Nothobranchius furzeri: one gene and its partners. The protein of the gene in region 6 purifies or fractionates together with the protein of the main gene of each other region. This does not show direct contact. Links are inferred from orthologs where the notes say so. Each region holds a gene or a part of one and is shown on either strand. Other genes may lie near its edges.

The links.
Region 1: the proteins of serine/threonine-protein phosphatase 2A catalytic subunit beta isoform (region 6) and cct8 purify together in Homo sapiens (affinity purification with mass spectrometry; 4 studies listed by BioGRID and IntAct, with this or other methods). This does not show direct contact. The link is inferred for Nothobranchius furzeri from reciprocal best matches to the Homo sapiens genes PPP2CB and CCT8.
Region 2: the proteins of serine/threonine-protein phosphatase 2A catalytic subunit beta isoform (region 6) and strip1 purify together in Homo sapiens (affinity purification with mass spectrometry; 6 studies listed by BioGRID and IntAct, counting the BioPlex papers as one, with this or other methods). This does not show direct contact. The link is inferred for Nothobranchius furzeri from reciprocal best matches to the Homo sapiens genes PPP2CB and STRIP1.
Region 3: the proteins of serine/threonine-protein phosphatase 2A catalytic subunit beta isoform (region 6) and striatin purify together in Homo sapiens (affinity purification with mass spectrometry; 5 studies listed by BioGRID and IntAct, counting the BioPlex papers as one, with this or other methods). This does not show direct contact. The link is inferred for Nothobranchius furzeri from reciprocal best matches to the Homo sapiens genes PPP2CB and STRN.
Region 4: the proteins of serine/threonine-protein phosphatase 2A catalytic subunit beta isoform (region 6) and ppp2r3b purify together in Homo sapiens (affinity purification with mass spectrometry; 3 studies listed by BioGRID and IntAct, counting the BioPlex papers as one, with this or other methods). This does not show direct contact. The link is inferred for Nothobranchius furzeri from reciprocal best matches to the Homo sapiens genes PPP2CB and PPP2R3B.
Region 5: the proteins of serine/threonine-protein phosphatase 2A catalytic subunit beta isoform (region 6) and ppp2r5ca purify together in Homo sapiens (affinity purification with mass spectrometry; 3 studies listed by BioGRID and IntAct, counting the BioPlex papers as one, with this or other methods). This does not show direct contact. The link is inferred for Nothobranchius furzeri from reciprocal best matches to the Homo sapiens genes PPP2CB and PPP2R5C.
Region 7: the proteins of serine/threonine-protein phosphatase 2A catalytic subunit beta isoform (region 6) and slmapa purify together in Homo sapiens (affinity purification with mass spectrometry; 3 studies listed by BioGRID and IntAct, counting the BioPlex papers as one, with this or other methods). This does not show direct contact. The link is inferred for Nothobranchius furzeri from reciprocal best matches to the Homo sapiens genes PPP2CB and SLMAP.

The regions. Positions count from the first base shown.
Region 1 is NC_091750.1:65,571,857-65,574,457, reverse strand, and holds part of cct8 (T-complex protein 1 subunit theta), read right to left. Parts: intron 1,787-2,601; coding exon 1,608-1,786; intron 628-1,607; coding exon 561-627; intron 484-560; coding exon 396-483; intron 300-395; coding exon 184-299; intron 92-183; coding exon 20-91; intron 1-19. UniProt on the Homo sapiens protein: Component of the chaperonin-containing T-complex (TRiC), a molecular chaperone complex that assists the folding of actin, tubulin and other proteins upon ATP hydrolysis.
Region 2 is NC_091743.1:46,742,398-46,745,897, reverse strand, and holds part of strip1 (striatin-interacting protein 1 homolog), read right to left. Parts: coding exon 3,472-3,500; intron 2,804-3,471; coding exon 2,621-2,803; intron 2,367-2,620; coding exon 2,146-2,366; intron 1-2,145. UniProt on the Homo sapiens protein: Plays a role in the regulation of cell morphology and cytoskeletal organization. Required in the cortical actin filament dynamics and cell shape. Part of the striatin-interacting phosphatase and kinase (STRIPAK) complexes.
Region 3 is NC_091752.1:1,673,599-1,676,494, reverse strand, and holds the end of striatin, read left to right. Parts: intron 1-1,717; coding exon 1,718-1,906; intron 1,907-2,006; coding exon 2,007-2,176; 3' UTR 2,177-2,396; downstream 2,397-2,896. UniProt on the Homo sapiens protein: Calmodulin-binding scaffolding protein which is the center of the striatin-interacting phosphatase and kinase (STRIPAK) complexes.
Region 4 is NC_091754.1:29,703,229-29,707,442, forward strand, and holds the start of ppp2r3b (serine/threonine-protein phosphatase 2A regulatory subunit B'' subunit beta), read left to right. Parts: upstream 1-1,414; 5' UTR 1,415-1,560; coding exon 1,561-1,621; intron 1,622-1,895; coding exon 1,896-2,278; intron 2,279-4,214. UniProt on the Homo sapiens protein: The B regulatory subunit might modulate substrate selectivity and catalytic activity, and might also direct the localization of the catalytic enzyme to a particular subcellular compartment.
Region 5 is NC_091758.1:28,651,073-28,654,572, forward strand, and holds part of ppp2r5ca (serine/threonine-protein phosphatase 2A 56 kDa regulatory subunit gamma isoform), read right to left. Parts: intron 2,119-3,500; coding exon 2,008-2,118; intron 1,924-2,007; coding exon 1,831-1,923; intron 1,716-1,830; coding exon 1,585-1,715; intron 1,501-1,584; coding exon 1,441-1,500; intron 931-1,440; coding exon 822-930; intron 588-821; coding exon 534-587; intron 428-533; coding exon 257-427; intron 1-256.
Region 6 is NC_091750.1:36,852,041-36,855,540, reverse strand, and holds part of serine/threonine-protein phosphatase 2A catalytic subunit beta isoform, read right to left. Parts: intron 3,205-3,500; coding exon 3,034-3,204; intron 1-3,033.
Region 7 is NC_091743.1:68,934,241-68,937,740, reverse strand, and holds part of slmapa (sarcolemma associated protein a), read right to left. Parts: intron 2,251-3,500; coding exon 2,191-2,250; intron 2,069-2,190; coding exon 1,994-2,068; intron 1-1,993. UniProt on the Homo sapiens protein: Associates with the striatin-interacting phosphatase and kinase (STRIPAK) core complex, forming the extended (SIKE1:SLMAP)STRIPAK complex.

The DNA of each region.
Region 1 (2,601 bases), about 29 Mb from region 6:
ACCAAAGTCACAAACACACCTCTCCATATGAGCTGATCTGTTTGGCAAGCTCAATCTCAGTGGCTCCTGCTCCGGGTACTAGTCGTTTATCCTGGAGAGAAATGGTAAAACAGGAATTCAATTAGCTAAACGGACTAAACGAATATATCTGAAAACTCTGCAAAGGGATTAGCACCGACTTACCCTGACCAACACCTTGAAAGTGTTGACTCCATCATCGATAGCCCTCTCGATGTCATCCATCAGGTTGTCAGTAGAGCCTCTGATCACGATGGTGGAGATGGCTCCATCTTCTTTCTCTGTTTCAAAACAAAGCCAGACAAAGCATCACACTTGGGACTCGGCTGAAGCAGAAACAAACTTAAAATAAAAACAGAACAAATAACAAAACTTGCCATGTTTGAAGACCACCACCTGAGTGTCTCCCACTTCTGTTAAGTAAACACTGTCACAGTGACCCATCTCATCTGGAGTTGGAGCCGTCTAAGAATATATAACACCTCAAGGATTAATCTCATTACTTTTACACCCCTGATAACAGAAAAAATGACTTTACAAACCATTTTAGGCAGAGCTACAGCACCCACGGTCTTGCACAACCTTCTGAGGTCCCACTTGGTGTTTAGCCTGTAGATAAAGGAAGGTTTCAGGTTTCAAAGCAGACAAGAACGATCATTTAAATCAAGAAGAACTCCCTTAGGGCTCATGACGAACTACAACCCTGAAGAGACAGGAGCTCGGGTGAGCCCCAAAACAGCCTCACTGAACCTTACTGCCAAAGCAAATTGTGAAGAGTCTTCATTTATTTTAATACATTTGCTGTGTGAGTCAATCTCTATGGGAAAAAAGCTCTGGCGCTTCTGTTTCAGGAAGTGGAAGGAAGTTATTCGGAAAAGTGTGTGTGTGTGTGTGTGTGTGTGTGTGTGTGTGTGTGGGGGTCAGATATGGAGTCTTACTCATTAATATTCGTGATATTTGAACACCTCACCTCTGATTGGATAACAGCAATGCAACTCTTTCACTGCCTTCATTCACTTTGCAATGCTGATGTTTAATCTCTACAGATAACACAAGCCCGAAGGAGTTCCACTGTGTTATGGAGTTGCTAATGCCAACGGTTAGCTTCTACTAGCTGAAACGCACTCTGCTCTCTCCTGGACACGAAAACAACAGCCTTCCTTGCTGTGAGCCAAGATGGGTGAGTCAGTGAACGCTAATTTGTGACGTGGAGCTGTCAGGCGTCTTCGAACCAGAGCTTTTCCTCGTGTCTTCTATTGGCGGATAATCCAGGAGATGGGGATAGAAGACTATTTTCACGTTCAAACTCAGATTGGCCGATCAAATTTAAAAAAGAACAAGTAATAGAGGTTTCTCAGTGAGCTTGTTCTTTGAAAAGTCAAATGTTCCGAAAAAGGTTTCCAATAAATGAATAAACTGAAGTTTTGTGGTGGAGATTGAGGATAATACGTACAAGTAGAGGGCCTTGAAAATAAAAGGTTGAAAAATGCTAATGTACCACATGTAAATGATTATCTGATTAACTGAAGGATAACTTGGTAGAGTACTAGAGAATAACGTTTTATCACTGGAGCTGCTGCTGATCTTACCGGACCACCATGAGCTTGTACTTGTTGGCGTAGTGCAGCGCCATGTCCGCCACTTTGCCCCCGGTTACCACCACGTTGGCACCAGCTTCTTTGATGGCCTTCACCTGGGCCTCCATCATGTCCTCCTCTCCCTTACTGAAGTTCATCAGTTCTTGTGCATTATTTATCAACACTGTACCCTGCAGAAAAAAAACCACACTTCTGTCAAGCACCAAGATGAGACCATAGCATTCTAGCCTTATTGTTGCAGACAATAAATTGTATTTTACATAATGTTAACCCTCTGGGGTCCATGGACGCGTATCCGCGTCTTTTGAACAGGTCTGATTTGGGAAGCTGTAGCAGCAAGACTCCGCCTCCCCGAGTTTCGGTTTCAATTCAGCTTTAAAAAGGAGATTATAAACTACACCCCAGATTTTAAATTTTGTTAATAGGCAACGTAAAAGCGGAGTTACACTAAACTAAACGACCTATTTTTAGACAATCTGACAACTTGTCAAAACAGCAGTGAAGTGATCCGTGAGAGGGAACGTGCTTGTGAACATAAAAAACCCACAAAAACACGAGATCCTTTTGCTGTTGGTGGAAGTCTCACATATTCAATCGATAAAAAGTACCATTATGTAGCGGAGAGGGAGAGGAAGGCTGCACGAGTAACGAGATGTGCGCAAAAAGGAGCCGCTTCGCGGGGAAAGGAGTGGCGCGAACGAAGTAACAACAATTAGATATTGACGATAAACTTTAGCCTAGTGAACTAGACCAAATTCTTGCTTTGCAAAGTTTGGTCTAGGCATGCTCCATTGGAACCTCAGCAGCTCCTACCAGGACTCTGGCTAGCCAATCACAGCTCTCTAGAGGGGTTTCAAACACATAAAGAGCTGTGATTAGTCCATAATGGTGGGCCAATCATAGTGCTCTATCTGCTTAGTGAACAAATCACAGAGCTTTATTCGCTTTGTGGGCCAATCAGGGCACTCTATATGCCTGGTGGGTG
Region 2 (3,500 bases), on a different chromosome or scaffold from region 6:
CTTCCATGTCCAAGTCGAGGAGATCTGAGTTCACATCACCTCCAGCCTCGTCATCACCGGCATCAAGCAGCCCGCTGTCCACCAGCCCCTCGAACAGAGGAGGTAGCGGGGGCTCCTCTTCCATCATATCCGCCCAGCTAGTGGAGGCTCGTGGCTGATGGTTGTCACCTTTATCAACAGGCGTGCCCGAGCAGAGGCCTGGGTCCCGGCCGTTAGCCACTGCCACTCTCAGCCTCCTTTCCCTTATCTTCTCCGGCATGGAGGAGCAGTGAGGGCATGTCTGCGGGTTAGCCAGCGATGCCTGGGCATGAGCAGCACCCATGCAAGCTATGCACATAGGATGAGGGTCCCTGCCTGAAATAGAAGCCCCACATGATGCCGGGCACAGGCGGGATGCAGCCTCTTTAGCCTTCGGTTCCGACCCGTCCGTTGGGATAGGGGTGGAAGCCATAGCTGACAACCTGACTAGTCATGACATGTTAGTCTGAAAAAGCGTTAGTAAGCTAGTTAGCAGGTGTAAGTCTGCAACTAAAGCTATATTTTGTATGTAGCGCAACTCGTTGCGACACGTTAGCGGCACCAAAGTAGCTCATTAGCAAATAAATGCTAAATAAGCACAGGACAAGCTCGCCTCAACGCGTTCGCTTGAGCCACACTCGCTAATACCACTCCGTCAATGACAACAGAGTAGCCGTAGGGGAAGTTCGCCGTGACGCGTTGACTGTTCCTAGTGAAGTGTGACAAGTGACTTAAGCTGGGCGTAGCACTCAGCTTCAGCTCAAACTGTACGACTTCCTCGCAGGGCAGATCTCACGAGTCATGTGCTCACACTGTACGACCCAGTTCTCGGATGCGATCCGACTGCTCACACTGTACGTCTGGTAGCAACACGTCGGCCCTAAAAATATGCTAAAAATAGCAGTTTTTACTCAACACGTCATACTTTTTTGTCTTGTCTTGCCTGTTGTCCTTCGGGAGAGCTGCAGGAGGACACACAGGGATTTATGGGGGTTGGATGAGGAAAACGAAATAAAGAAAGTAAATCTGTGTTTTGTGATCAGTTTAATTTGACATGAACACGACAAACACGCTTTCTTGACAATCTTTGTGAGTAAAAAAACGTGTAGAAATAAAAATGAACAACGTGTGTTATTAGGGAAATAGCGGGCGAGCGGTGTTGATGCATGATTGCGCATGCGCCGTGAGCGGTTCTGATACTTTTTGGGTCGCAGCTGCTCACAGCGCCGCTTCAACAGTGCGATAACCTCACGAGGGACGAGCAAAATATTAAACATGCCAGAAGTTTGTGCGACCTCACGATTGCTGATCGGTAGCTGGTCACGTGGTGTTAATCGCCTCTCGTACACGACGCTCGGCGCAAAACTCGCCCCGATCTCGTGGATTCTCGCACGAGTGGAAAATCGGCTCAAAAAAAGTGAAAAAGTCGCACAGTGTACGCCCGGCCTTAGACGCACTTACTCAGCTCAAATCCAGACTGCGTTCGGCGACTAATCCTGAGGGGACGCCTCGGAACAGTTAAGCAGCTAAACAAAGATGGCCTGAAAATCGCTGAGGGAGCAAAGTGTAGTTCCTCACGGGAAGAAAGCGAGAATGAGTTTGAGGGGTAGGTTGGCCGTGTATATACTGGGTGGGCGGAGCCTGGGCACGGCGCAGGGACAGACGTGATGTCATTGGAGCTTCCATAGTTGGTCACGCCAGGGCGATTCCCATAATGAAACACCGAACGAAGTTAGAAAAAGAACCGATATTTGCCAATACCGATATACTGACATTAATGCTTCTAAAATCAGCAGATTTTGTATAAAATGAAAATTATTAAAGCTGAAGTTACGTTATTACGTACACACCCCATACACATTTACGTTTCTGAGATGATTTCATTTACTGTTTACATGACTTAAGTATTACACATCCCCCCACCCCCCACCCCACCCTCTGAAACAGGCAAACAAATGGAGACAAGATGGAAAAAATATTGGTTGTTCATATCCGCCCGGTTTTATTTATCAAACCGATACAGATATGTTAAAAAACGACGAACATCAGCCGGTACCGATATTGATGCCGACATATTGTCCATCCCTAGTTAAATCTGCAGGTTTGTGGGGTGAGACTGAGACGTACCTGACTTTGGGAGCCCACGGAAGACCTTTAGGGAAGGACATCCTCTCTGATGGTGGGTGGGGAATGGGTGGAGGCATCACCTCGTCTCTTTCTATAGGAAAAGTCTCCGGCTCTAAAGAGTTGTCATTGTCATCGTTGTCATCCTCGTCGTCGCGAGAGTCGTCGGCCTTGTAGGGATCCTTTTCATTGAAAGCGTCCAGGTTGTCCTGTTTGATCAGAGCCTGGAACGAGTTCAGATATGCATCATTACACTCAGACTGGAGCCCAGCTGCAGCATGACAGGAGGAAAAACACTGAACTACCACAAAGAGCCTGAAAAATGGGTCTAAACGGTTCATTTGAGAAAACTTAATAAACGCAGTAGTGATAACAATATTAAACAGAGCAAAACACCAGTAAACAGCTCATCCTCCTCTTACTTCAAAGTGGTTTTCTGTGACCTGGAATATTTAAACGCAGCAGCAGTGTCGAGTACCTTGTGTTCCCGCCGGGCCCGCTTCTGTTGCTGTTCAATCAGATCGGACGCAGAAGCGGGAGGAGATGCTGCCCTCATGCTGCGAATGACTCGAATGCTGTCCTCCGGGAGAGGAGGAAGGCCCAGCTCCTCACGCTTGCAGACCTTAATGCCCTGAAGCTGCTCAAACCCTCCAAGAGTGAACTGAAAGAAAAAAGTGCTTCTTTGTGGATCCACTAGACTTTGTTTAACCCTAACAGGTTCCTTTAATAAAAGCTACATTGGAGGCTCTTTGCACAAAAACATTACTTTGATCAAAAGATGCAATTAAAATAATATTTTTCAAAAGTAAAATTTTTAACACAAATTCCATCCTTAGCTTCAGTCCTCACCAAACAAAGGAAAATATTTATGTGTTTGAGATTTAGCCCCTTTGGTGCCATGTTTTTTTTTAAAGAAAAATCAACATTGAAAAAAAATAAAATAAAATTTAATAGTTCCTTGTGCGTTATGTCATGAGGACTTGTTTTTTTTGGGGGGGGGAGGGGGGGGTTGTCAGAGCTTTGGAGAGTCACAAATGGGCATAAAAATAATTTTTGTTTACCCTTTATTTTGTGTGGAGTGTCAGATATTCAGAAAAACTCACATTCAGGTCTCTACGCACAAGAATATAGATTAAGTGAAATAAAATATATTTATGGCAACATTTAGCTTTGTTAGAAAAATGTCGTTTGAATGAGTCAGTGACACAAAAAAATGTCAAGGGACCTCATCATCATCACAGCCAAAGTTAATGAAAATGACTAACGCCTGCACAGAAAATGCACTTAATTCTGAGGGTGAACTTAAGTGTCCTTATGTTCCTTTCTTACCAAGATGCTCTTCCACAGCAGCAGAAGGA
Region 3 (2,896 bases), on a different chromosome or scaffold from region 6:
AAATGTTTCAACTTTCTGGGATCGCGTCGCTGGGTCGCCTGTGCACGACACGCGCACGAGCGCAAAAATTCACACGCACGTTTTTCGTATTTCGCTTGGTAGGAGAGAGACCCGTTTAGATGATTAAACGATCACCATGGTTACCACTCTCTCCAATGCAATATGCCATTGTTTAGTTTTCCTTTGATTCTTTCAAAATAATTGAAGTTACCAAATACTTTTTACTCCACTAAATTATTTATGTACGACCGAACACATACCCTGCGTAGGTTTGCATGAAATCTAACGTGGAAAATGAAAGCAAACATGTCAGTTATTTTTTTAAAACCAAATCAGCTGAGAGTCAGAAAACAGGAGCGATGCTTCTGGTCTTTACGTCCCCTGACAGCTCATGTGGGATTGTGACGAACAAACACCTTTTGGAGCGGCTCGTGAAGACTTCATGTTGTATAAAAAGCGAGTTAGGTTCAAGCTAAAGGGCGCAGAGATGCCCCCCCCCCCCACACACACACACTTTGTCCCACCATCACGTAGTCTTTGTGAAAACACGTGATGGCGTTACAGACTCACCACTTATAAACGACCAAAGCCTCCCTGGTGCTGCCTCAGCTCTGCAGCAAAGTAACGCCGAGTTTCTTGAAGAGGCCGGAGTTGCGGGAAAGTTTTGCTAATCCTTCCTCGAGTGTCGGCTGGTTAGGATCAACGACCACCAGCTTCCTGTCGTCCAACCCAGGATGGAATTGTGTAAGGTGCTGTCGCGAGTCGGTGGTGTTGCTGTGGTATTTGATTTTAGTTTTACACACTTTACTTTAATCCTCCTGATGAGTACATCTCACGCTCAGTGGCTAAAGCTAATAAGAAGCTTCCATGTTAGCGGTTTTGTTTTTTCCGCTGGTCCGTCCCTCTAAAGCAGGGGTGTCAAATACGCGGCCCGAGGGCCGAATCCGGCCCGCAAGCGGGTTAAATCCGGCCCGCGAGATGGTTGTGTAAACTTTGTTTTCATACTTTACAATGTAGAGTGAAAATAAACGTATCTTTGTGAGCAAGTTTCCTCTGTAATGAGTATAAATAAAACAAAGCTGCGCTCAAGGCTCACACAAGAACTTGAATCACATCCTGAAGTTGGCCGCCACTCAGGATGTGACTTCTGATGTTGATGTGCTGGTGAAAGCTAAAAGATGTTAAGTAAAATGAGTCAAATATACTTTAAGTGCTGCATGAAACTGATCTAGCCATGTGATCTGTAAGCTCTTTGAATCACTAAGGAATGTTTTTATTTATTTATTGTTTTTTTTATTTTTTTTCAAATTTTCAAGTACACTTCAGGTGTTGTACTTTTACTACACTGTCCTCAGGCTCCAGCCTTGTTTTATATTGATTGTATTAAAACAAAGAAAACAATCTGAAGTTTTTTTTTTTTATTTACCGGTCCGGCCCACTTGGGACCAGATTTCCCTCGATGTGGCCCCTGAGCTAAAATGAGTTTGACACCCCTGCTCTAAAGTGTCTGGGCGGCGTGAGTAACTTATGTTCCTATCGCGCTTCACGGCAGTTTTTTGGCGTTTATTTATAATTGATTATGAACGTTTATGAATCTATAATTGATCATAGATTAAGTGGTGAATCTGCTCACCTCTAGTGCATGGATATTAGCTTCTTATCACCGTAGGACCCATAACTGGTATTTGTGAATTTCTCTGTTTTGTTTTCAAACCAGGAACCCCTTGTCACATCAACAAAGTCCTCAGTCACCCCACTCTTCCAATCACCATCACAGCCCAGGAGGACAGGCACATCAAGTTCTTTGACAACAACAGCGGGAAGCTGGTTCACTCCATGGTGGCCCACCTGGACGCGGTCACCAGCTTGGCTGTGGATCCCAACGGGCTCTATCTCATGTCTGGAAGTGAGTATATGTCAAATTAATGTTGTCGTTATTAGAAGATAACAGATGACCGAACTGGGTCTGGCGGTTGACTTCTCACATCCCGTCCTCCTGTGAACAGGTCATGACTGCTCCATCCGCCTGTGGAACCTGGAGAGTAAAACCTGCATCCAGGAGTTCACGGCCCACAGGAAGAAGTTCGAGGAGTCGATCCACGATGTGGCGTTCCATCCGTCTAAATGCTACATTGCCAGCGCCGGGGCAGATGCTCTCGCCAAGGTGTTTGTATGACGTGGAGCTCCCGTGTGTTCCCCTCCTCCTCCCCACCATCACAGCTTCGCTCTCTGACTCAGTCTTTCAGGATCAGGGACCAGTAGAGACTCAGCGGGGGGGTGGGGGCGCTACCAGGCAGGGGTCCGGTCCCATCTCACTCAGCCCACTGGTCACCTCTCAGACTTCATAGCCTCCAAAAGGCTGGGACTCTCCTCCAAGAGGGTTGGCAGGAAGTCCAGTCGGGAGTAGAGCTGCTCTCTGGTCCCCTCCCTCCTCCACCCACCATCCAGGCAGGCCTGGGTGTGACTGGCCACAGAGCCCCTGCAGACTCAAACTTAACCCTCCTCTACAGAAAGGACAAGTGTTAGAGGAGTGGAGGAATGGGGTTCCACCCCTCGCCCCTCTTCCTGCTTATTCCAGCTCCTTCAGATCCTCATCCATAAAAAAAAAAACAAGTCCAGACCCTTTTCTCCAAGTCAGGTTGTGCGTCCGAACCGCCAGGTGCCGACCCAGAAGCCTCCCACGTCCTCTTCTCTGCCTCCCAGACGGACTCTGCTTGCTGACCTGCCTTTCTTTGTTCCTCTTTTTTTAAACCTAATATTGACAAATGTGCCTTTGCTTTAAAAAGGTCTTTAAAATGTTCTTTTAACAAGCTTTCTTTGTGAGGGGGTGTTGAAAACGAGGGAGGGAGGGGAGGAGAATCGGAGCGGGGGGTCACAATGTTGTCAGTTTTAACAT
Region 4 (4,214 bases), on a different chromosome or scaffold from region 6:
AATGTCAAACTGATGAGACCTACTGCAGTTTTCTCATATTTGAATACCATACAGTGTAGATTAATCTGAAAAACACAACTAAACCAGAACATTTTCAACTTTTCTCACTTATTAAAGCAAAGTGTTTATCATCTACTTCACATCTACTTCAATATTGCATTGCTGACAGCAGTAAAGGAGAGCTGCACACATGAACTCTTTACTAACACTTTCCTACGCTAACCAGCTGTGCCCCTGTGGTTTCATCCTCAGACGAAACCTTTGAAACGTCCTTCAAGGCATAAAAAAAGAAAACATGCACACCGCTTTGGGTAAAATCCTATTTGTACACTATAATTACACTTTGAAAAGTTGCAAAGTTTAAAGTTTCTAGACCTTCACTTTTTCTCTCCTCATTTCGGGTATTGATTTTGCTCTAAAACGCATGTTAGGCCAGTTGTTACACAGAACAAAGAGATTTCTCATTACACGTTGTGCCTCAGACAACTTTGAATGCTTCAGATTGGATTTACCCGCGTTATCAAGGGACAGATAAGGGAAAACGCAGTCAATAATTTTCACAACTATAGAACCACTGTTAATCTTAACAAGAAGGCCAGAGGCACTGTGAATGTGCTTGTTAACAACAAGGCAGTGGTGGAGTGATGGGTGTCTCTAATGTATTTAATGATGGAGATAAATAAAAGAAAAACATCTAAAACTGTCAAATTTGGTCAAATAAATACAAAGCAGAGCTAACCTCTTTCTCAAACAGCCCAATTTAGCTTTAAATGAAATAAAGAATGCATCATGCTGTGATGTGAGGTATAAAGTTCTAATAAAAACAAGTATTTACAGCTGCATATGTCATTGCCAAGTTGGACAGATTAGTTTGGATCCAATTGTGGTGCTGCTTGCAGTGTAATTACCTAGCAAAACTGTGTTTACAGAAACAAACCGTTATTAAATTGTTGGTTTTGTTAGCAGCGTTAAAAATATTTCCAAGGGAAACTGTTTTTGTACCATTAAAATCTGGTTCTTTTATCATATTTATCATATCATATTTATTTCTGATATAGAGTTGGACGTATTTGATTTTTTTTCTGTTTTACCTTTATATCTTCAGAGTTTAACATTCATGGTCGTGTAAATCAGTCTAAGAATGTGCAATCACACACACACACACATTCAGATTTTATGAAAGAAAATCTATAAGAAATGCTTTCAGTCAAAATATTATAAAGTCCTGGACAAAACATTGTAGCTGGAATCTTGTTTTAGGGCTTTTGGTGAGATTTTCACACACTGAATTAACAAAAAATGTGTTTAAATTGCACTTAAAGTGTTTTGGAGGTGTCAATCTATCAAGTTAGCAGCAGTGAGACGCCAGTCTCCCTTTTCAGAAGAGCGTTTGCATATAATCTCGCGATAACACGACGCTGTCACCAAGGGGAACGGGATTTTAAAAAGTTGTCTGCTCTGTTTACAGTACTGAGATTCTCTGTCAGAAATCGACAATTTAATAAGAGATCTGATTTTGTTTATCCTACTAGTTCAAGGAGACATGCAGCAGCGTCGCATATGAAGGAACCACGATGTCATGAATTATCAGTGTTTGGCTCTGTCGTCCCCTCACAGCGAGGTTTGTAATAGTTTTATCACGAAGGCAACATTAGCTTGCCCATGCTAGCTAACAGTCGTAGTTCTAGTGATTTCAACAACAGCGTGTTTTTGCAGGGTGATGTGATGCTAAGTAATGAAATGTTAACTTTTAGTTATTTGCATCACAGTAACGTTAAAATGGCGGGTAAATAATCGCAGTAAAAGAAGTTTACGTAGCTAAAATTGATGGTTCGCGCTTAGATTCAATAGTGAGTGTTGACTGAAATGGCTAACTTTACTTTATTCCCATACAGGTGTCAACCTCAACGCAGTAGTAGTTAGCAAGATGCCGTCGCAACAACTACTCCAACCAGTTCTTAAACTAAAGGTGGACGAGTTGTTTCTGAACTGGCTGAGTGATCCTGAAACCCAGGCGGTCCTCAAGGATTATCTTGATTTAATCAAAAATGGACAGTATATTGACGTGGGCAGTGAAGCCCAGGACAAAAAGGCTTTGAGTTTCAATGAAAACAACAATGTGGCGTCCCAGAAGAACCGGGCAGAGAAAAAACCTGCTCCCATCGGTACCCCGTCCGCTACCCAGCCCAACAGTACGCTTCCCTCTCGCAGTAGCAGTAATACCAGAGTGACTGGACCCAATAGCAGGGTACTAAGGAGGTCTGTCAGCACACAAAAGGTAAATGATTCAAGCATGAGTTCTAAAAAATACATATATAATTTTTCTAACATGTTTTAGTCATACATAATTTTTTTGTTATTAAAACTGTAATTTAGAATAAATGGTTTGACTGGCTTTAAAGTTATCCTACCACAGGGATCTCATATAAGGGTGCTCATATCAACATCACGTAAATGTTTTCACATGATACTTGTAAATAAGAGCTTGTGACATAAAATATATGAAAAATCATGTTTTTTTAGTAGCATGTAGTTATATTTTTGACAAGTTAAAGAAAAATGCTGAGCATTTAATCAGTGATTCCAGACATCTTCGGTAAAAATACAATATTACTGCCTAATAGTTCTTTAATAATGACCAATTCTTTAGAATATTACAGCTCTTTAGAAGTTTCACTACCATTTAAACAAAGGGATAACTTTAGTAATGATGAACAGTCTGACATCACAACTCAAAAGCTCGTCCTGGGCATTAACAGCTGAAATTAGTATATTAAAATCTTCCTAGCTGGAGTTTTTCTGGGATTTTTTTTATTTTATTTTATTTATATTTTTTTGTGAACCAATGAATAGTTTCTGTGTGTGTGATGGTACAAGTTACATTGCAAAACATGCATTCTTGAGGGGGGAAGCTCCCACATTTGTGAGTACAGCACACCAGCTGTATCTTTTTGGGATCTATTTCCTCCCCTGGCTGGCCACAAGAGGCTGCTGAGGACCTTACAGGGATGATGCCATTAAGAGGTTCCCAGAACTGTCAAGTGTATGTGTCTGTAGGCCTTGAATAGGTATTAATTAAATATGTTCCTAGTGTTCAAACCTCACCCACAAAGAAATGTGGTATGAGAGGGGGGAGTGTCTGTGCCAAGCCTTTTTCTGGCACTCGTGATGTTTGTAGGTTGTGTAATAAATCTCTCATTTGTAACAAAACAGCCCAGAGGTAGATAGTTTAGGTTATAATAGAAATGTATAGCGTTGTGAAAAACTATTTGCCCCCTTCCTGATTTCTTATTCTTTTGCATGTTTTGTCACACAAAATATTTCTGATCATCAAACACATTTAACCATTAGTCAAAGATAACACAAGTAAACACAAAATGCAGCTTTGAAATGGTGGTTTTTATTATTTAGGGAGAGAACAAAATCCAAACCTACATTGCCCTGTGTGAAAAAGCAATTGCCCCCCTTGTTAAAATATAACCCAACTGTGGTGTTTCACACCTGAGTTCTATTTCTGTAGCCACCCCCAAGCTTGATTACTGCCACAGCTGTTTCAATTAAGAAATCACTTAAATATGAGCTGCCTGACACAGCGAAGTAGACCAAAAGCACCTGAAAGGCTAGACATCATGCCAAGATCCAGAGAAATTCAAGAACTTTTGAGAACCAAAGTCAGTGAGATCTATCAGTCTGGTAAAGGTTATAAAGCCATTTCTAAAAATTTGGGACTCCAGCGAACCACAGCGGGAGCCATTATCCACAAATGGCAACAACATGGAACAGTGGTGAACCTTCCCAGGAGTGGGCGGCCGGCCAAAATTACCCCAAGAGCGCAGAGACCACTCATGCGAGAGGTCACTAAAGACCCCAGGACAACTTCTAAAGAACTGTAGGCCTCACTTGCCTCAATTAAGGTCATTGTTCACGACTCCACCATGACAAAGAGACTGGGCAAAAATGGTCTGCATGGCAGATTTCCAAGACGTAAAACACTGTTAAGCAAAAAGAACATTAGGGCTCATCTCAATTAGGGCTGCTCGATTATGGCAAAAATAATAATCACGATTATGGTGACTGAAATTGAGATCACGATTATTTAGGACGATTTTTCAATTTATGTTGATTTTATTTGTTTTTATTCAGTCATAAAATTGCTCAGGGCACAATCAGGACAAAAATAAGAAACAAGATGATCACTAAAATAACTCCTGATT
Region 5 (3,500 bases), on a different chromosome or scaffold from region 6:
AAGCTCAACTTCTCTTTTAAAAATGGTTTGAATGTTTCTGGTGGCACCATCGACATATATATACACATTAATTCAAACAAGATAACGTGTCAGAGTGTCTCTTTCAATGCGTGCGTCTCTCACGACTAATCCCAATTTCTGTTCTTCATCGGGCGAACATTTGAATTGCATTTGATTTATTTGCATTAACTCAAACTGGATTAATCTAAGAAACTTTTACCATTTTTATTTTACATTATAAAAAGGTTTTTTTTACCTGGAAATGTGGGCTGGACACACACTTAGCCAGCTGTCTGAAGAGAGGTTCCTGAACTTTAACAAACTCTGATGGTTCGATGACATCCAAGATCTCCTCCAGCTCGTTGAGGAACATCACTTCCTTGGGACTGTGAGTCTTTGGCCAGTACTTTAGTAGAGCCATTACCACCTGATGGGAGGACAGGTAGTTGTTAATAACCGGTCAGAGAGGACGGGTGGTTGTTATTAACCATTAGGGAGGATAACAAGACGGGAACAACGCTTTGATGACATACCGGCTCAGTTAGAGTGCTGTCCTTTTCCAAAAACTGCACCACACAGTAGGCCAGCTGTAAAACAAACAAAAACAACATTTAAATCTGAAAACCAATTGAGGAAGCCAAATGCTTGAAGACTGAAATTTTTATTGCAGGCGGAGGCTAGCAGGTTCAGGCAAAACAGCGAATCTAGTCGTTTCTAAGTAAATTTCAGTGGTAAAGAGTTTACTGTGTACACCTTTCAGAATCTACGTCAGACACTAAAGATGCGGCTTTCCTCATTTAATTATAGGCTTAAGGACATACCTGTGGATGGTAGACACTGAGTGATTTGACTTTGTGCAGAGGCAATAAAACCTTCAACAGGAAAATCTTGTGCTCCTCCTTCAGTGGTAAGGCAAAACCATTGATTATGCTGCACAAAGAAACACAAAAAGAGCCATCAGGACATTTGACAACAGGAAGGGAATTAAGTTTGTTACCATTTGGGAACATTTTCTACAGAACATAAACAAAACAAGTTGATGGGATTGATTTTTCAAGTCTGAATAAGCATAGATCACAGATCTGACAGGGGTCTGCCGTTTTTCCCCTCGATCCACCAAAATAAAACTTGTATTCGGCTTTTTTCTCATATCTGAGAATTATGAGGAAAAAAATCTCAGAACTTTTGAGAAGTCGTAATTCTAGCATTTTTTTTTTCAATTTTCTGTAACAAATATAAACTATAACAGATTTGTGATTGTTAAAACAAACTCCATTTTGTTCCGGTTAAGATTTGAAACTTAAAAAAAAAAAAAAAAAAAAAAAAACATATAAAAATAATTTAAAAAAATTAAAGCATTTACAAAGAGTATGAATCTTTTTTATTAGCTCAGATGTAGAACATAAAAAACTGAATTACGGCCGTAGGTGTGCACTTTACCTTCCAAGTATTTCCAGTAGTTCGGCTATACCGTTATGGTGCTCCGTTTCATAGATAAACCTGTAAAAACAAAGAGCCTTGCTCAGTGGAACAAACTAAGATCTGTGTGTGTGTGTGTGAGTGGTGACAGAAGACAGCACTGACCTATAGAAAATGTTATTGATCTGTTTTCTGATGTACGCTCTCAGACCCAGAAACTTCCCATAGATCCGGTGGAGAGTCGTTTTCAGGAAGTCTCTCTCTCTTGGATCTTCACTGTCGAACAGTTCTAGGAGCTGAAATTTTAAAAAATGCATGTTTTACACTAAAAACATCACCAGCTCTGCTGCCTCTAAAGGGACTTATCTTGAACTGCATAAAAATAATAATGAGAATGTGATATTTTTGCACCTGCATAACAAATTTCTGGTCGATGTATTTCTTTGCTATATTGGGCTGGAAGTCCGGTGATTCTAAAAACCTAAGGAAAAATTCATAGACGAGCTGCAAAATGACAGAAAACCAGATGTTGGAAGGGATTTCAAAGTTTAAATGCACTGAAGAAGAACGGTAGTAGTATGGATGAACCTGGAGGTGAGGCCACGCAGCTTCAAGTGTTGGCTCATCCTCCTCAGGATCAAACTCTGCTCCTGTTGGGTTGGATGATGGAGGCAATGTCCTAAACATATTTACAGCAAACTGAAAGACAAGAAATAGAAAAGACACTATAAGTATTTTACGCCATTTATCACTGAACAATACCTACAACTATAAAAGGACAGAACAATGTTCAACCTGATGTTTGAGTTTTCTTTTACGTTGAACTTAACTTTGTCCTTACAACTGGCCTCCAAGCATTTGTCCCTCAATTATTTAAGAGTCTTGTGTTCCTGGTGTCTCCGTGTCAACTGACTCCCCCGTGGGCCGCTGGTTTCTCCTGGGCGGATCACGGGACAGTGCAGGTGGCCTACTAAAACACTAAAAGCCTTGTGTGGAAAAGAGGAAAAATGCTACAAGGTAGACGGAGCCACGCTGCTCTTCGCACCATTACAGCTATGAAGACAATGGAGCATCAATGTTGCAGTGAGAATTCTACATACAGGTTCAGTCTAATGACATCAGTATTAAGAAAATGTACATGTTTTCCTATTACACATCACTCCCCTCAGTATATATTTTATGAATTATTTGCATAGAAATTTATTAAAATCTATGTTAATGTTTCAGAATAAAGCTTGTGAAATATAAAGTGCATCATTCTGTCTGTACCTGGTAAAATTGTGTTTTTCTTTTTTGAAGGGATACTATGCAGCTTTTTCATATTTTAAAATCATTTTCTTGATTCAATATGTGTTAAAATGACCTTTAACAAGGCCCTTTATGGCCAGAACATCGCAATTGCAACTTCAGAGTTGCTGGTCCAGGCCTGCTGGTGGGGGAAGCTGACTTAGTAGAGCTTCATTCTGCTTTCAACATGTTTTCTGCATGTTTTAGATCATAAACACAGCTGATTTGTTTGATTTAGTGATGAACCACTCCTGTAGAAAATAATGAAGGCTAAAGGGACATTTCAGCTGATAGATTAAGGTAATTAAACAAACGAACCCACAGCGAGGAGAGAAGTTAAATTTTAGTTTGACCTCTGAATTAATAGTGGACACTAGGGGGTGCTAAAAGCAAGCAAAAATGCCAAGTGTGCCTTTAAATTAATACATAAACAAAAACATAAATAGAAAGAGAACTCAAATTTCCTCCAAACCCCCATGAGTAGATTTAACTATTTATGGTTTTATATGAATTAAATGCAATAACATCTATTTTGACGTTTCAAAATAAAGCTTGTGAACTTTTAAAATTCATCGTAAGCCTGAAATTTTCTAGTTATTTCACCTTTTTAAATTCATATATGAATACAGAAAGAAAAACAGAACTGAAATGTTCTACAAAAGCTTATGATTTGCCCTTTTTAATTGGATAACTATTGAAAAGACATATTTTTATGGGTGGAGTTCATTGTTGCATCTGATAAAAAAAATAAAATAAAAAAATAAACAGTTTTTAATAAGGTTAAAAACTAGTCA
Region 6 (3,500 bases):
ATCCGGGTACGTGTGGACAGAGTTTGTTTGTAAAACGCGGTGGTGTGGATGCAAGTTTTTGGAGGGGCGGATATTCGTTTTTAAAAAACCCCGGCTACGTGTGGACTAGGCCTCAGTGACTTTGACGCTATTTCTAGTAGGGCTGTCACGGTAACCGCAAAAATGAAATATCGCAGTATGAAGAAACCCACCGCGATTACTGAACTTGGTTCAACTCAATGATGCATGTTGAGAAGGATGGCTGCACTGGTATCAAAACGAAACGTTACTTCGCTCCTTTGGGAGCACTTTGGTTTTCAGTACGTCAGCTGCTGCGCAGCCAGAGTCCTTGGCCGAGACAGAGCTGCCACCAGCGGCAAAAAAGTAATAATAAACGCTCGGAGACCCACTGAAGTCCCGGACAAGCACTGCTTCTGCAACCGTCCCGAAGAGAGTTTGAGGCGAGCTGGAGCTCACTCGCTACCTGCAGGAGGAATGCATCCACCCTAAAGAAACCCCCCTGACATGGTGGAGCAACAACCGGGAGAGATTCCCTTTGCTCGCCAGAGTCGCACGCAAGTACGTGTGCGTTAGTGCAACGAGCGCACCATCCGAGAGGGTTTTCAATGTTGCTGGAAATGTTGCCCCCACTCTCAGATCCTCTCTCAAACCGTATATGGTTAACATGCTGGTTTTCCTTGTGGGTAACAAGGACGTGACCGAGCTATAAAGCACCGTCATTTGTGTGTGTGAAAGTGAAATGATAGTGCCCCGCGCCCGGTACATGTAATTTTTTATGCTTGATTTTAAACAACTAAACAAAATGGGGACTTGTTTCTTATTTGTTAGATGCTGCAGCCAAATTTGCATTTAAAAGTTTAACCTTGTCCTGAATTTTGTTGTTTTTAAGTTCAGTCGGACTGTCGGAGAAACAAACGTTACTGCGATCTGTGTTGTTACTGCCCTTTGATCTGCATTCGGTAAAGTGTTATAAAAGAAGGCACGGCAGTTTTTAACCTTTTTTAAATGTGTAAACATTATGTTTAGATAGTACTGCAATAAAAAAAAGTGCTGCAATAATATCGCACACCGCAATATTAAGCCACCCTGAATCACCGCAGGGGGAATTCCTCAACCGCAACAGCCCTAATTTCTAGCAGCTTTTCAGACTCCCTTCTTGACTTTTTAAATCTTAAAAGTACCTAGCGAACACCTCAGAAACATCTCTGGTAACCCTTAGCTACTTTCTGGATAACTGTCGTTGACATTTCCTGCAGGTTAGCTAAACACTCCGCCTGTGCTCCGGACTGTTCTTCAGGACATTAGGAAAGAGAATGATGTGGTGATGTGTCGGTCGCTAAAGAAACGGCTCTCAGAGTCGGCTTCCTGTTGGATTAACCAGAGTGAGTGACACACACCGCACCTGCCGACTCCTGGGCCACTAAAAATGGCTAAATGTGCGCGTGCAGCTTGCCTACTGATTGCTGTGAGACCGGGTTGGGGGGTGCAGCTGTGGTTGGGACAATTATTACATTAACTGATGGACCTGTAAATAAATAGTTTATAAATAAGGTAGAATAAGTTCCTCACGCTGATAACTAATAACTAATCTCTGAGGACACGGTGCTAGTGCACGCTCCTACAGCACCTTGACACGACTCAATAAATGTTATGCAACATTTTGCGAACATCAATTTATTTGCATTTATTTGTTATAAATGCCACTGTATAATTCTTGCTGTCAGTATTTGCAAGATATTGCAGATGTGGGAAAATGTCATCAGGCAGTAATCGTTGTTAAATTCATAATTACTCTCGGAGAGAGACCAACTCTTATCTGCCCCTGGGAGCCCCGTAATGCATAGCGTCATTTCAACATGGGGGTGTCCGCGACACGGTTTATATGCAGGTAGCGGCGCTGCGGCTGCTTTATATAGCGACTCGTTGCGTTCTCCCTCAACCCAAATCCTCGGATCACGCATTTTAGCTGAAACGCTAACGTTAGCTTGCCTTGCGTTGACTGTAGAGTTGTGGGCGATGGTCACGCAGATGTGTCATGAGATTTGAAGCGTTGCTGCCTTTCACAGACACTTTTTCTGCACGTGCTGCAAACAGGATAGCCGTCTTCTATCAACTGTCCCTCGGCATTCTTCAGATATCCAAAAGATGCCCGTACTTCCCACTTTGTCTTCTTTGAGGGATAATAAATGTCCTGAGTGCTGCCGTCTCCTCCTTTGGACATTATTTCAGCTTTAGCTTCAAGAAAGTTTTGGTTGTAAACAACAAAGTGCGCATGTGCCGCCGGCAACTTCAGCAGATGATACGGTGGCTGGTAAGGGTCACCGCGCCTACACCGCAGCCACGGTAACCCACCGAGATAATATGTGTTTTAAAAACAAGACGGTTATTATTGTCAACTTTTTTTTTTTTTACCAGGGTGTACCGCTACACCGGTTACCGTGACAACCCTATTACCGATACAGTAAAGCTGGACGGTAAACCCATCAACACACCGACAGCAGCATCCAACACAAACATCAGACCCACAAGCGTCTGATGTTGGCGTTGGTGACCGTCTGGGTGAAAAACTCTGAACTTTGCAGCACTGAACTGTAGATTTACTGAATAAAACAGATTTTATCTGCATGTCAGAAATAACATCGACCCCGACGGTTTACAAAGTGGAGCCCGTAACTCGGCCCACCTGGGACCACCTCACGAGAAACAGATTTAAATGCAGCAACAGGCCTCCTTTTGGCTTTAGGTTGTTTTCATGTTGACCCAAAACCTCAGAGACGCCTCTCAAAGAAAATCAGACTAACGAGGATTATTTTTAGAAGATTTGGAGTGGTGGGAAGAACGAGTTCAGACATTTGTTCATCAGATCTGTTACCCTCACAGCTTTAAAGCGTTTCTGAACATTAAATCTGATCAAAAACAGGAGAAAAACAAACGTCTACGAACTTAGAAAATATGAAAGTTTTTTTCTGACGATTAAAAACTGTTTAGTTTCTGGTCAAACGGCAGAATGTGGCTCATTAACCTGTGATTTACCTTTAACGTGACCAGCAGAGTGACCGTCTCCACAGAGTAGTAGCCTCTGTCCACATAGTCTCCCATGAACAGGTAGTTGGTGTCGGGGGACTTCCCACCAATCTTAAACAGCTCCATCAGGTCGTGGAACTGACCGTGGACATCCCCACACACCGTCACCGGGCATCTCACCTGGAGGGGGTGTCACACCATCACAGGGTCACTCCAACATCCACCACACGGCAGTTAACTCAGCATGAATACAGAACGCTGCTGATGATCTCTGTAGAAGGCCTAAACTACCTTAATTACTGTTTCTGTGCTTTTTGCTGCACATCACCTCTTGTGTGGTGGTGAGCTCCACCAGATCAGTTATTGGACCCCCGATCCTGTTCCAGTTCACTGATTTGGAAGAAAAATCGATTCACTTATCCAAGAGTCTCCGACTTGATACGTTGACCTTTTAAGTTTCGCATTACAACCCAAAA
Region 7 (3,500 bases), on a different chromosome or scaffold from region 6:
GACGAGCCCATGTATCCGGTTCGGGCTGGGCCCGGCCGGGCCCCATGGGCGAAAGCCCGGCCACCAGGCGCTCGCTCACGGGCCCCAACCCCAGGCCTGGCTCCAGGGTGGGACCCCGGTAACCCTCCGGGCCGGGTACTCCGACTCTTCGTTTTCACCGCCATGAAAGATCCTTCGAACCGTTCTTTGTCTCACCCTTCACCTAAGACCAATTTGTCATGGGAGACCCTACCAGGGGCACTAAGTGCCCCAGGCAACATAGCTCCTAGGATCATTAGGGCACTCAAACTCCTCCACCACGATAAGGTGACGGTTCAACTTATCAACAATTCAGAGATATAAAACAAGGCAACGCCATTTTAAGTCAGTTCCATTTTGACTTCAGTTCTATTCACCATCATCCTAAAGAAAAGCGCAGCCTGGCCAGATGTGTTTTCTTCTTTAAACTAAGAACTGTGAAGCGGGAGATTTTCGTCGTTTAACAACCAGACGACGTCCTTTCAAAATAAGAGCACCTGCTGACGCCGACGAACGGTACCGGGGTCGACCCTCCAGACGGGCTTTGAAACGTTGTGATCGCTGCACCGACAGCTCCATCGTACATCCGAGGTCTCCAGACCTGGCATTTCCTGATCTACCTGGGAGACCCCCACTGGGTACGTACACGGCAAAATAGCGGCTCATGTCATCACTTTATAAGCCTCGTGATATCTAGTCATAACAAAGACGACCAGATTCTTTGACGTCAGCCTAGAGAATCTGAACCAGACACACACACACACACACGCACCAACACAACATCCGAATCCATTCTCATCCATCACAGAGTAGTCCTGGTAGATTGTTTAGAATTTATAATTCAGAAATTAAAGATTCTCAAACGATCCCATCTCTCTCTCTTTTCTTGTCTCAAAGTCAATACAGAGTGTTTAATTAAACTCCCTGATGATAAAAACAGCCTACTCTTCTGTTTATAAAAAGTGAACTACTAACAGTGTATTAAAATACAACTTTAGATAGTTACATCACTTCAATTCCGTTACATATTTCATAGTACTGTTTTATGTTTTCTATCTCTGTTATTGTGCGACAGTTCAGCACTTTGGTCAGCCGTATGGCTGTGTTTTTAAAGTGCTATATAAATAAAGGTGGTATGGTATGGTACCAGATTCAGTTTATGGTTCTAATGTTTGTTTACTAACGATTTGGCCCCTCGTATCTGTCTGAGCTGCTCATCCCATACGTGCCCCCTGACCAAGTACTCCTGTAAGACCAGAGGGGAAGTGAGCTTTCTCATTTGCCGTCCCAAAACTTTGGATGAACTTCCACTTCATGTGAGGCAGACCTCTTGTTAGCCCGGTTTAAAGCAGCCCTGAAATCACATAATTTTAGTCAAGCTTTTGGACATTTATTATTTTAATTGATTTGCCGTGTCAATTTTGTGATTTGTATTTTATTTTTATGCGTTCTGTTCTTATTGTTCAGCACTTGGTCAGCTGCCGTGCTGTTTTAAATGTGCTATAGAAATAAAACTGGGCTTGTTGAAACCAGTGATCCTCCGATTACTGGACGACCTGTTCCACCTCCTCGCTGCCGCCCCAACAGCAGTTTTGTTTTCAGTTTTTTTTTTTTGTAGAAATGCACAGATTTAGAGGGCAGGTCATGATTTCTGACTTGTTCAGCTTTGACCTGCTGATAGATTAGAACTATAATTTACAGAATATTTAGTTTAAATTCGATTAACTAGAAAGTCCTGATGCTGGATTGAAAAACTTTCAGGAATGAACATCTCTCGGCACTCAGCTCTGGTGTGACAGCTGGTTTAAATGGTACAGCGTTTGCTTCAAATGGGAATTTTTTTAAGCTACGAGTTAATTTAAATGGATGAAATTTAACCTGGAATGGCTCGTGCTCTATATAGCCATCAGCTCAAATCCTTGTGAACGCCTTCAAAAAGATAGAATTTCCACTCTCTTAGTTCTGTAATTTTTACCTTTTAGTCGATCAGGACTGGCCAGGATGTTGTCTTCTGTAGTTTGGTTGTTTTGCAGGTGGGAGTCCATAACTTCTGCAATCATGAATACAAAGTAGAGATGTGTTTTTATGTTTTAACCAACAATTTTACACAAGTTTCTTGTATTCACACAAGATATTTCTACCTAAATAATTATGGTTTATTAAAACGCTCACCATCAAAGTTGGCCAGTTTGTGTATTGAAGAGCTCACAGTCTCCTTCAGCTGCTTTACAGCTGCAAAGACACAAAAATCAGAGTATAAAAATTATCCCATTAAATATACTTTGCTATTTTTTCATGATTTCATGCAGAAATGTTGAAGGTTAGTATCAGGATAAAATAAATCAGCAATTATCACTGTGATGTCAATAAATGACAAAAACAACCAAAAAAACCTGCGGTGAGTTTATGAAATGATTAATTAGCTCTTGTGGATCGACAACTGATGAAATCAACAATGAGATTAACACCTGCAGGTAGACCAGATTAGAGATTATAAATGAGCAAAACATCAAAGTCTAAAATGCAGCAATACTATTTTTAATTGTCTAACTGATGTCATTTTTGCCCATCTTCTCCTAAACGCTCAGTTCACAGATTCATATTTACACTAAAACACAAATGACACCAATTGGTAAATATTGGAGCTCAGTAAAGTGGTGACAAGGCGAGAGGCCCAGACTTCCCTCTCCCCAGCCACTTGGGCCAGCTCCTCTGGGGGAATCCCAAGGTATTCCCTGGCCAGGTGAGAGACATAGTCGCTCCCCCGTGTCCTGGGTCTACCTTTAGGTCTCCTCCCGGTTGGACGTGCCCAGTAAACCTCACCAGGGAGGCGTCCAGGAGGCATCCTGACCAGATGCCCGAGCCACCTCACCTGGCTCCTCTCGATGTGGAGGAGCAACGGGTCTACTCCGAGCCCCTCCCGAATGACAGAGCTTCTCACCCCATCTCGAAGGTGAGCCCAGCCACTCTGCGGAGAAAACTCATTTCAGCCGCTTGTATCCACGATCTCGTTCTTTCGGTCACTACCCAAAGCTCATGACCATAGGTGAGGGTAGGAACGTAGATCGACCGGTAAATCGAGAGCTTTGCCTTCTGACTCAGCTCTCTTTTCACCACAACAGACCGGTACAACGCCCGCATCACTGCAGATGCAGCACCAATCCGCCTATCGATCTCACGCTCCAGTTTTCCCTCACTCGTGAACAAGACCCCGAGATACTTAAAATCCTCCACTTGGGGCAGGACCTCATCCCTGACCTGGAGAAGGCATTCTACCCTTTTCTGAACCAAGACCATGGTCTCAGATTTAGAGGAGCTGATTCTCATCCCAGCTGCTTCACACTTGGCTGCGAACCGCTCCAGCGAAAGCTGAAGATCATGTTCTGATGAAGCCAACAAGACCACATCATCCGCAAAAAGCAGAGAACTGATCCTCAGGCCACCAAAATGGATGCCCTCCACACATTGGCTGCGCCTAGAAA